Arabidopsis thaliana: one gene and its partner. The protein of the gene in region 2 interacts with the protein of the main gene of each other region in a biochemical or structural test. Each region holds a gene or a part of one and is shown on either strand. Other genes may lie near its edges.

What was found.
Region 1: the proteins of AT1G68220 (region 2) and BRL2 form a complex in vitro, tested with the Arabidopsis thaliana proteins (one study listed by BioGRID).

The regions. Positions count from the first base shown.
Region 1 is NC_003071.7:439,982-446,113, forward strand, and holds BRL2 (BRI1-like 2), read right to left. Parts: upstream 4,344-6,132; 5' UTR 4,256-4,343; coding exon 824-4,255; 3' UTR 643-823; downstream 1-642. UniProt on the Arabidopsis thaliana protein: Receptor with a serine/threonine-protein kinase activity, which may transduce extracellular spatial and temporal signals into downstream cell differentiation responses in provascular and procambial cells.
Region 2 is NC_003070.9:25,568,187-25,572,545, reverse strand, and holds AT1G68220 (aerobic coproporphyrinogen-III oxidase (DUF1218)), read right to left. Parts: upstream 2,455-4,359; 5' UTR 2,225-2,454; coding exon 2,132-2,224; intron 2,051-2,131; coding exon 1,842-2,050; intron 1,288-1,841; coding exon 984-1,287; 3' UTR 813-983; downstream 1-812. Other genes in the region: AT1G68230 (Reticulon family protein), read right to left, coding at 5-191, 271-361; APRR6 (pseudo-response regulator 6), read right to left, coding at 3,244-4,359.

The DNA of each region.
Region 1 (6,132 bases), on a different chromosome or scaffold from region 2:
CCACAGTTTTTGACCTATATTCTCCTCCATATCCAAAAACAACCGTTTGATAATACCGTTGTTAATGTGTTAATCATTTCTTTCAATTAGAATGGAACTATTGAAATTTGAAAACTCTAAATTACTAGACAACCACCTACTTGATTCACATCAACAAGTATAAATTCACACATACTAATGAAGTAACACATTGAAATATATTCTCTTTTGTGGTTTGAAATACTATTCTCACAAAAAAAAATATTCTACTCACGAATGTATAGTCTTATAGTGTTAGATGTTCATAGGCCTGAAGGAGAAAGAGTCATTATGGGCCTAATGTTTCTATATTCTAAATAGTTCTTTATGGCCCAAATATAATTTTGAAACTTCAGTTGTTGAGCCCATTTGTATGTTCTCTATCCAAAGCCTAATCGTGTGTATTCGAGCGTTTAATAAAGAACAATTTTTTTTTTTTTTTTTTTCTAATACCAGGAAGTTCTGGGCCAATGTCGGTAATCCTTTCATGCACGAAACCACATCGTGTAATATTAGTTTCGTTTCAAGCGTTACTCAAATCGGCGTTCTCTAAGCTTCGTTTACGGTCTTTACCAATTGAGCTAACGACACTCGGTAATAAAGAACAATTCACCAACTAAGACTCTGATTTGTTATAATCTGCATAGTTATTTATTAAAGGAATCAGAATTTAAATTACATTAATTAAGTCTTGATACATCATGAAATTTTAATCATTGATCAACCACACATACACATTCTCACAGGAAAAAAAAATGCATTGAAAAAGCCAGAAAAACAAAAAAAAACAGAGATCTTCATGTTGTTACAAGCTGTTACTGTGACTGTGACTATTATTTTCACTTCCACGAAGTTCTCTCAACGAAGCAACAACTTGTAACATATTAGGTCTCTTTGATGGGAAATCGTCAACGCACCGTAACGCTATCTCCAAATACCTCAACATTTCTTTCACAATCACTCCTCCTTCAAAACCTTCTTTCTCATTCAGAGACTCCGAAGAACCTTCTTTTAGAAGGTCTTCATCAATCACTTCCATGTGTTTCCCTTCTCTTGCCTTCATCTTCGACCAACCTACTAAATTCGTATCACCAAACTCTTCTTTATCCGTTGGTCTTTTCCCGCTTAAGATCTCGAGCATCACTACTCCGATTGAGTACACGTCGCCTTTTGCGGTACATCTGAAACTTTGGTAATACTCTGGTGGTACGTAACCTGGCGTGCCTGCCAAGGTACTTACACTCAAATGTGTGTCTAATGCGCTGATCAGTCTCGCCATTCCGAAATCTGAAACTCTTGCTTCCATGTCTTGATCGAGAAGCACGTTGCTCGATTTCATGTCGCGGTGGATTATGTGAGGGATACAATTGTGATGCAAGAAACAAAGTCCTTTTGCTGCTCCTTTTGCAATCTTTTTCCTCTCTTCCCAACCTAAAATCCTCCGTTTTTCGCCTGTTCTTGGTCCGTGAAGCACCTCCTCGAGGCTTCCGTATTGCATAAACTCGTAAACAAGCAATCTCTCTTCCCCGATTTTACAGTATCCCAAGAGCGGTACGAGGTTTCGGTGTTTGATCTTCCCTAAGGTTTCCATTTCTGCCATGAACTCTCGATCTCCTTGACAACTAAGTCTAATGAGCTTCTTGATCGCCACGGAAGACCCGTCTTTAAGCGTCGCCTTAAAAACCTCACCGAATCCGCCGTGTCCGATCATACTCGCGGCTGAGAATCCGTTTGTCGCCTCGATAAGCTGCGAAAACTTAAGCTTTCTCAACTGTCGCTGAAACGTCGCTACATTAATACTCAACGGCTCTTTCTCCTTCTCTATCTTCCATGTAGTGGCGGAATTAACCGCCTGCAAACTGTGAAGCATCTTCGCATCATCCGCATCTCTCCTCCTCGCACGAACCGCAATCGCCCAAACGATTAAAATACAAACCGAAGCAGCGGAAATCAACACTCCCAAAACAATGCTATTCGCCCAAGAAGCTGCCCTAGTTCCGTGCTTAGCACGTTTCCCTTCCTCTGTTCCAGCAGGAAGCTGATTGTTTCCATTCTTACATTCCGGTAAAGGAACACCGCAAAGCCCCGGATTATTCGCGTACTGAGTCGCCGGAAGCGTGCTTAACTGACCTCTCTGAGGAATCGGACCAGTTAACTCGTTATTCGACAAATCAATCTGCACCAAGAAAGACAAATTCGAGAAAGATTCAGGGATTTGACCCTGCAACCGATTATCCGAAGCATCGAAAACACCGAGATTCTTGAGCTGACCAATCGTAAACGGAATCTCGCCGGAGAGTTGATTATGAGAAAGCTCAAGAACTTGAAGAGCAATCATTTCTCCAATCTCATCAGGGATTTTACCTCTAAGCTGATTATAAGAAAGATCAAGATACTCAATGGTTTGATATCTTGTGAATAGACTCAAAATTGGACCTGAATACATTCTTGTGAAGTCACAGCTTTTAAGAGATGGAATCTGAAGAAGCCTCTCTGGTCTGATCCCTGAGAACTCAACCAAACCTCCAACACCTTTACATGAGTTTCCAACGTTTCTAACAAAAGCCATTGTGTTTCCTGAGAGTAAACCGGAAAGTGCTTTTGAACCGGGTTGACGACCTAACCGGGGAGGGATTTCACCGGTTAAGTGGTTTGTGTTAAGATCAAGCCAAACCAGAGTTGTGCATTTTCCTAGCTCCGGTGGGATTTCTCCGGTGAAATTGTTGTTACCGAGCTGAAGAACGGCTAACCGGGAAAGGATTCCGAAATCTTTAGGCACTTCTCCGGTTAATCTGTTGCTTGTGAATGAGACCCATTCGATGTTACTGCAATTGAAAAATTCCGGTGGGATTTCTCCGGTGAGTTGATTGTTGTTGAGGATCAAATCTTTTAGGTTTTGTAGTTTTCCGATCTCCGGTGGGATTTCTCCGGCGATGTTGTTGTACCAAGCTATGAATTGCTCGAGTTTCTGGAGGTTTCCGATCTCCGGTGGGATTGTACCGTTGAGATAATTGAGACTGAGATCAATCGTTCGTAGCTCAGAGCATTGAGATATCGCCGGTGGAATCTCTCCGGTGACGAGATTATCCGGGAGTCTTAGCTCTTCTAATGAAGCTGCTCCGGGACATAAATCCGGTGGAATCACACCGGAGAATCGATTCGAGCTGAAGTCAGCGATTCTCAAGCTCTTACAAGCAGAGATTGAAGTCGGAAAGTCACCGGAGATTAAGTTGTTGCTGAGAAGTAAGATTTGAAGAGATCCAAAACTCCGGAGGATAGTGTTCGGAAACGGACCGGAGATGTTGTTGTTTGAAAGGTCAAGACTTTGTAGCCAAGAACATGAGGACAACGACTCAGGGATCACACCAGTGAAGTTGTTGTAAGAAAGCCGGAGGTTTTGTAATGACCGGCAAGTATCTCCGATCTCCGGCGGGATCCAACCGGTGAGTCGGTTATGAGAAAGATCCAAACTTTGTAAGAGTTTAAGCTCACCGAAAGATTTTGGAATCTGCCCATCGAAGTTGTTGTAAGAAAGATTCAAGCTTTTGAGGTTGGTGCAGTTGATGAGTGAGTCAGAGATATAGCCGGAGATACTGTTACCGGAGAAATCGAGATAGGTCATGGAGACGCAAGAAGAAAGAGGAATGGTTAAACCGGAGATTGGACCGGTAATGTTGTTGTAAGAAAGATCAAGGGTTTGGAGTTTCTTGCTGCTTAAGAAAAGATCATTAGGTAACTTTCCGGTGAAGTTATTGTAAGAGAGGGTGATGGAAATAAGATTTGAGTATTTGGAGAAGAAATTTTCAGGGAGGGTTCCGATTAAACCGGAGGAAGAGAGTTCGAGATGAGTTAGGGTTAAAGGAAGAAGAAGAAGAGAGGTTGAGTTTAAGACGAAGAAGTTCTCTGAGAGTTTGAGAACAGAGAGAGAATCAAGAGAGGTGAAAGCATTGAAGGAGACGATTCCGGAGAGGCCACTACCGGAGAGATTAATCTCGGTGACTCTTCCTCCGAGACAAGTGACGCCGGAGAATTGACAAGGGGATTTACGAGGTGACCAGTTTGAGAGAATGTTGTTTGGATCATCTTGGATCATTGTTTTGAAAGAGAGGAGTGATAATGAGTCGGTTTTGAGTGAAGATTGGTCGGAGGAGGAAGATTGTGAGAGATGGGTAAGGAGGAAGATGAAGGAGATTTGGATCCGAGTCCGGATCCGAACCCGGATTGGTGAAGTAGTCATTGGAGGGAGGTTTTTTGAGTTTGAATGGAGAAGGAGAAGTAAGTAAGTTGAAACATTTAGATGATAAAGAGACGATGCTAAAGCAGAGGAAGAAAAAGGGCTTTTTTTGAAGAAAAGAAAAAGCTGCTTTTAGGTAATTTATTAAGTTTTATTAATTGTTGATGCTTATTATTTTTAAAACATCTTTGTCGAATCGTTTTTTTTTACATATGATGTTTTTCTAATAGATGATTGATTTATTAAATGGTTATGATCAATCTTATGATTTTGTGGAATTGTGATCATGACTTGTAGTGATTTGTGTAAGTGACATTATTAATCTAATAGAATACATGTTGTTTGATAATCAAAAAAATTAAGTTCAGTTTATAGAATAAAACTCTAATATTTAGAAAAATATGTTTTCAGTTTCATTTAGTCCTATATCTATTTGTTTCTAATGGTTTCATAATTTTAATTCATTAAAGCTCCATGTGGGGATTTTGAACCTTAGAAAGAATTATGATCACTGCTAATTTTCTAAATGGGAATTGTATCTATGAGATGTTTCACAAATTTCAATGAAGAAAAAGTGTAGTATTATATAAACTTCCATTTAAAAATTTAGCTATATACTATTGTTGTATAACATTTCTTAAAATGATTTAAATATTAGTTGTATAACATTTCTTAAAATAATTTAAATATTAGATGACAAGCAACTAGATCTAATAAGAGTCGGAAGGAATTGTCCGTTGTAGAATCGTCTATGTAACAGTGCAATAAATAATAAATCTAAGACTGGCAAAAAAAAATAATTGACAAGCAACTGAATATGAATATAGTTAGTGATATAGTGACAACACTAATAAAAACGAACATAATAGAAATTCTAGTCTATAATCACATCAAGTTTGGAATTTTGGGATAATTTGTTTTGTTTTTGTTGTGTATTGTATTAATACTTTATTTAAAAAAAAAACAAAACCTTTTACAAAAGAATGGCAATTATATTGAAAGGAATTTTGGGAGAAATTATTCCAAACCGATATACAAATATTTCATATGGTGGGGTGTGTGGTCAAAATAATTGGGACCCAATTTAGTCATAATATGCATCGCATATGAAATGGTCTTTTGTAAAATTTGGTTGATCCAATGTTCACTGTCGAGGCAGAGGCGTGGGGGAATGAACAGAGAAGTGACTTTACAAATTACAATAACAAACTTTAAGGTGTAACCATAATGTTGCTCACTTCTTTTTCCATTTTTATGTGATTTTAATTAGTTTAGTTTCATATAATATGCCATAGATGAGCCTTTATATCATGTTCCATGTCACACACTCCATCCTTTTCATCATTACACTGCCTTCTTCCACCAAGTTTATGAGTAGATTTGTATGACTTAAGCAAAATATTAGCTTGATTATTTCAGCCAACGAGAAAATGCTATTTTGAAATGTTCATTGATAAATAATCATATACACATATTAAAGAAAAAAATATACACAAGTCATATTTTAAAATGTTTCAATTGGTTATACCCTAGCTACCATTCAATTGCACAAGAGACTATTTCTTTAAGATCAATAGTTTCTAGTAAGAAATAATTATTCTTAGAACATTTTTCCATTGCAATTAATAGTGCAAATCTTATCACCTATAGTGTGATTTTGTGTGTTATAAATTTGTAATATATCATACTGTTGAAGACTATAGAGTATATTTTATTGATTCTGTTTAATAAATAAAGGACCGAATAGTGGAGAGTAATAGAGAAAAAGCCCCACAAAAGAAACAACATCAATTAGCTCGTGGTTTAGTGGCATGAGAGGTTATGATTCCTTTGGCCCCAATATTTTTAAATAATTCTTTATGTAAATTCTTCTTTTCACT
Region 2 (4,359 bases):
TTACCTCTGGATTAGTTGTGAGGAGCCAATGTAAGACCAAATGAGGAATATGAAAATGAATAGTAAGAGGATCTGGCAGAGGAAAGTGATGAAAGGATATTCAACCACTTCGAACAAGAACCATATCAATGTGAATACCCCCAAGATTGTTCCTGATTCTTTCTTGTTCTTCCAGAACATTATATCAGCAACTACAAGCATTTCAAGAGAAAAATCCTTTAGAAAAAGAACCAAAATTAATGTGAAAACGGAAAGAAAAATATATGTTACATCGTCCTCCTCCTAGATTGTGGTACAAAGATCTTCGTCGTCTCGATGAAGAAGCTCTATGTTCATCCATTTCATATCCAAAAACCGCCATTTTGTTTTGGTTTCAGGTTTTGAAACAACTGTGGCCTTTTTTGTGAGCTAAGGTCTAAGATTCATGGTTTATTATATAGTTCCGAACTTTTAGGATAAGAACGGTTTTGTTCTTGGATTCATAAAGAAGAAAGCGATTTGAGAAAAAACAGGAAAGGTATGGCTTTAGCATATTGCAAAAACTCATCATTTTATTGCTACATGAATAAATTAGTTTTATATCTTGTAGAGAATCTTTCTTAACTTGAGTTAATGATCAAAAATGTATTCCAAAAAGTTATCAACATTTTGATCATAGCTAAACCCTTTCCCATGCAAGTATATTCCAAGTTGAGGCTAGATATGTTAGGAATGCAATCATTGGGCCTCTTCGTAGGCCCAGTCCATTATGTGCCCATATTGTTTTCATGTCTAAACTTTTAGCAGATGATAACAATCTAGATGAGGTCAAGTGGGAAGCTAAGATGATGACTGAGCCAAACCAAATTTCTCATAGACATACATAAGCCAACATTATATCTGACGACACAAGTTTATATTGACAATTAACAAACAACTATTTTTTTTATAGTTTTACCCTGTTTTTAAAAGCATAGCCAACATAAGACCAAACAGAAACTGGTTTAGACCTTGTTAAACTCGGTGTTTTGTTGCTTTGGAGCATCTGAAGGAGTGGTCATACCAATGTTAATGCCATCGTTCTGATGCTTCTCCCATCCGCCAGTATCAGCCTTAGAATGAGCCAAGTAGTAAAGAATGGTTGCAATCAAAGACATGAGAGTGAAAGCAGCTCCAGCAGCAAAGACTCCAACGGGTAAGACGGCACACGAAAGCTCTTTCCCTTTGTAAATGCCTTCACTTTTAGTGTGGTACGCGTTCCTCGCTGATCCACCCAACAAGCACGCCTCAGCTCCTAAAAAGCTTACCCTAAAGATACACAAAACCAATGACTAAGACAAACGTACTCAAACATAGAGATGAACTAACTAGTTCTTATTCTTGTAAGGTCGTTTCTTTTCTTATAGAATCCACATAGTTTGGTAAGATAACAAACTGTAAAACCAAACATATAGAATATTCAATTGTGACCATGACGAAGCCTACCACTATCATTGTCTTTAGATAGAGACATCCACAACTCACAAGTAAGAGTTAAGGACGTAAATAAGAAGTCAAGTTTGCAACAAAGTGACTTATTAATCATAAATCACATAACCAAATTTCAATACCCACTAATCTAAAAGTGTTTACTTTTCATGTTCACAATACTGAAAAGAGTTGGAAAAAACTTTCCTTTTCACTTCAAAGTTAAAACCCATAAATATACACAATCAAATCACAAATTAGTTCATTCCAAATCTAACTTAAAAGCCCCTAATCAGAAATTTCAAATTTTGGTTACCAAATACCACTTAAATCAACTCAATTTCAAATCTTGATGTACAAAAGATTCAATTAGAGAGTAAAGGAATAAACTTTACCAAGAAACAACGAAGAAGACAATAGCCCAGACAGTGTAAGAAGTACCAGTAACAAGACCCTTTCCAAAACAGAGACACTTAGTAACACCGTTAACCACCGCTTGGCTAACAAGAAGCAACCCAAACGCCGACATACCGTACACTGTCGACGCCTCAGTTCCGTACTTACAAATAGTCTTCTCATCGTACTGATCCGGAACCGGCACAGCCTGAATAAACAAGAAAACACGAATTCACAACACAAATCGGAAAAATGACAAATTTTAGTAAGAGAGAGATAAATTGGGTACGGTGCTACGGCGACGCTCGGCACCGAAGGCGAAGACGAAAGCAAGGAGGTGAAGAGCAGTGACGACGGTGAGGATTGAAACTGAAACCGCCATTGATTTGGTTTTCGTGCTTCTTTCTCTCTTTACTCTTTTGTCTTTTATCTTCAGAGAGCTTTGGGCAAGTGAAGAAACGTTAAAGTGTCCTTATAACACTGATATTTGTTTTCTCTTTTTCTCTTTTTTTAGAATTTTGAACACTAATATTTATGACTTAATTGTCAAAGTGTCTCCATCTAATCATTATATCTGGTTACTCTTTTTTTATTTTTTGGATGTGGTTTACAAATGTTTAGTGGAGAAATTTTGAGAGATATTTGATTAAGAGTAAGTAATTAAATGGGTATATTTATACATATTGTAGCTTTAAGTGGTAGCACAACCACCAGCTCAAGCATCAGAACAACAAGAAATCGACTTTGCACGCTCCATCCTTTGCCTTCAAACCCCGAAATCATGATTAGATTTAGAAACATAGTTGGAAGACGACCTTGCTAAAAATCAAAGACTCAGTAATTTGTCATTAAATTACTACGACGTAACAAAAAATAATATGATGTCAATTGAGACAAAACATATCTTTTAATTTTAGAGAGCACATGAAGTCATGCCAATGCTTCTTTGACAGATATGATGCCTTGTTCGTGGTTATCTATAGTAAATAATATTTGTTGACAAAAATATATTTCAATGATAATAGTTATAATGACAATTGACTATAATTTTGGAAGTAAAGTAGTAAACTATTATTTAAAAAAAATAAAAAATTAGATTTAGGATCAATACTAGAGCATCTACTACTTGGTCATAAGTTTTATTAGAACTGATTTTAATAGAAATACTAACTTTGGTCAAATTAAAAGTGTTTGACTACATTTTAATTAAAGACTGAGAAACAAATTAACAAAAAAAGAAAACTTATGGTACGATTAAGAACCTGAAAAACTTTTAGAATCTCATACATATTGTTTATGATTAACATACATCTATATTTATGATATGAATATGCATTATACAAAAACATATTAAATTTATAAACTACTTTTAATCTTGTTGTTCTCCTTTTTCACCATTATTCATACATCTTTATTCATCTCTTCGTTAATCCAATCCATGCATTCACGATAATCATCAAAGTTATCGTCTATCTTCATATCATCACTTTGATTCACAGATTCTATATTATGATATTCGCATGACTCCATCATATTATTTTCCTCAGAAAAACCATTGTCTTCTAACCAAGAGAATATATCCTTCTCATTGGCATCAATGTCAAAAGAAATCAGATCTTCAATCGAAATATCGTAAAGAGCATCGTTCATCTCTTCCATATTGGTTTCCAAAGGAACCATATTATCCAAAGCATCGTAACTTGTTTCACAAGAAACCAAACTCTTTTGGATGGTATTGGTTTCGAGTGAAGTTATATCTTCAGGGAAAACCCAATCTAACGGATTTGAATAATTGGTTTCTAGAATGGCCATATTAGTTTTGGGAGGGATTTCACTATGTATTTCACAAGAAACAAAGCCCACATTATTTGTATTAGTTTCTTCTTGAGGGGGAATACTTCCTCCAGAATAACCCATGCCCATATGGTTTATATCTACTTCAGAGGGAATCATATTTTCAAAAGGAACATAACCTACTTGTGAAGAAACCCAACCTATCTCGTTTGTATGTTTTTCAGGAAAATTTATGTTCATGTTGGTTTCAGGAAGAACGTAATTTGCTGTTGAAGGATCCCAATCCATATGGTTCATATTGATATCATGGTGACTAAGGTTTTCTATAAATGAAACCCAATCCATCTTGTCTATATCGGTATCCAAAAGGTTCATGGTAGGGTTTGGAAGAAATCTATTGTTTTCCTTCATAAGGCACTCATCTACTAGAGGATCGAAAGAATCTAGTATAGAAGTAAAATCTAAATCTATTTGGTTTACATCAGTTTCAAGGATGGATCTATGTGGGTGACATTGATTAGGATCATACTGCGGAATAGAAATCCTTTCGGATTCCATCTGAGATGTGCATGTGTTAGATGCACCATCATTCGATGGTAAACCATAAAGGATAGGAGAATTTTCACTACTTAAGCCAGTTGAAACTAAACCAGTATAGCTAGAGCTATCGATACTAGAGCTATCGATAGAAAGAATATTGTAAGCTGGATTATTACTTATGGT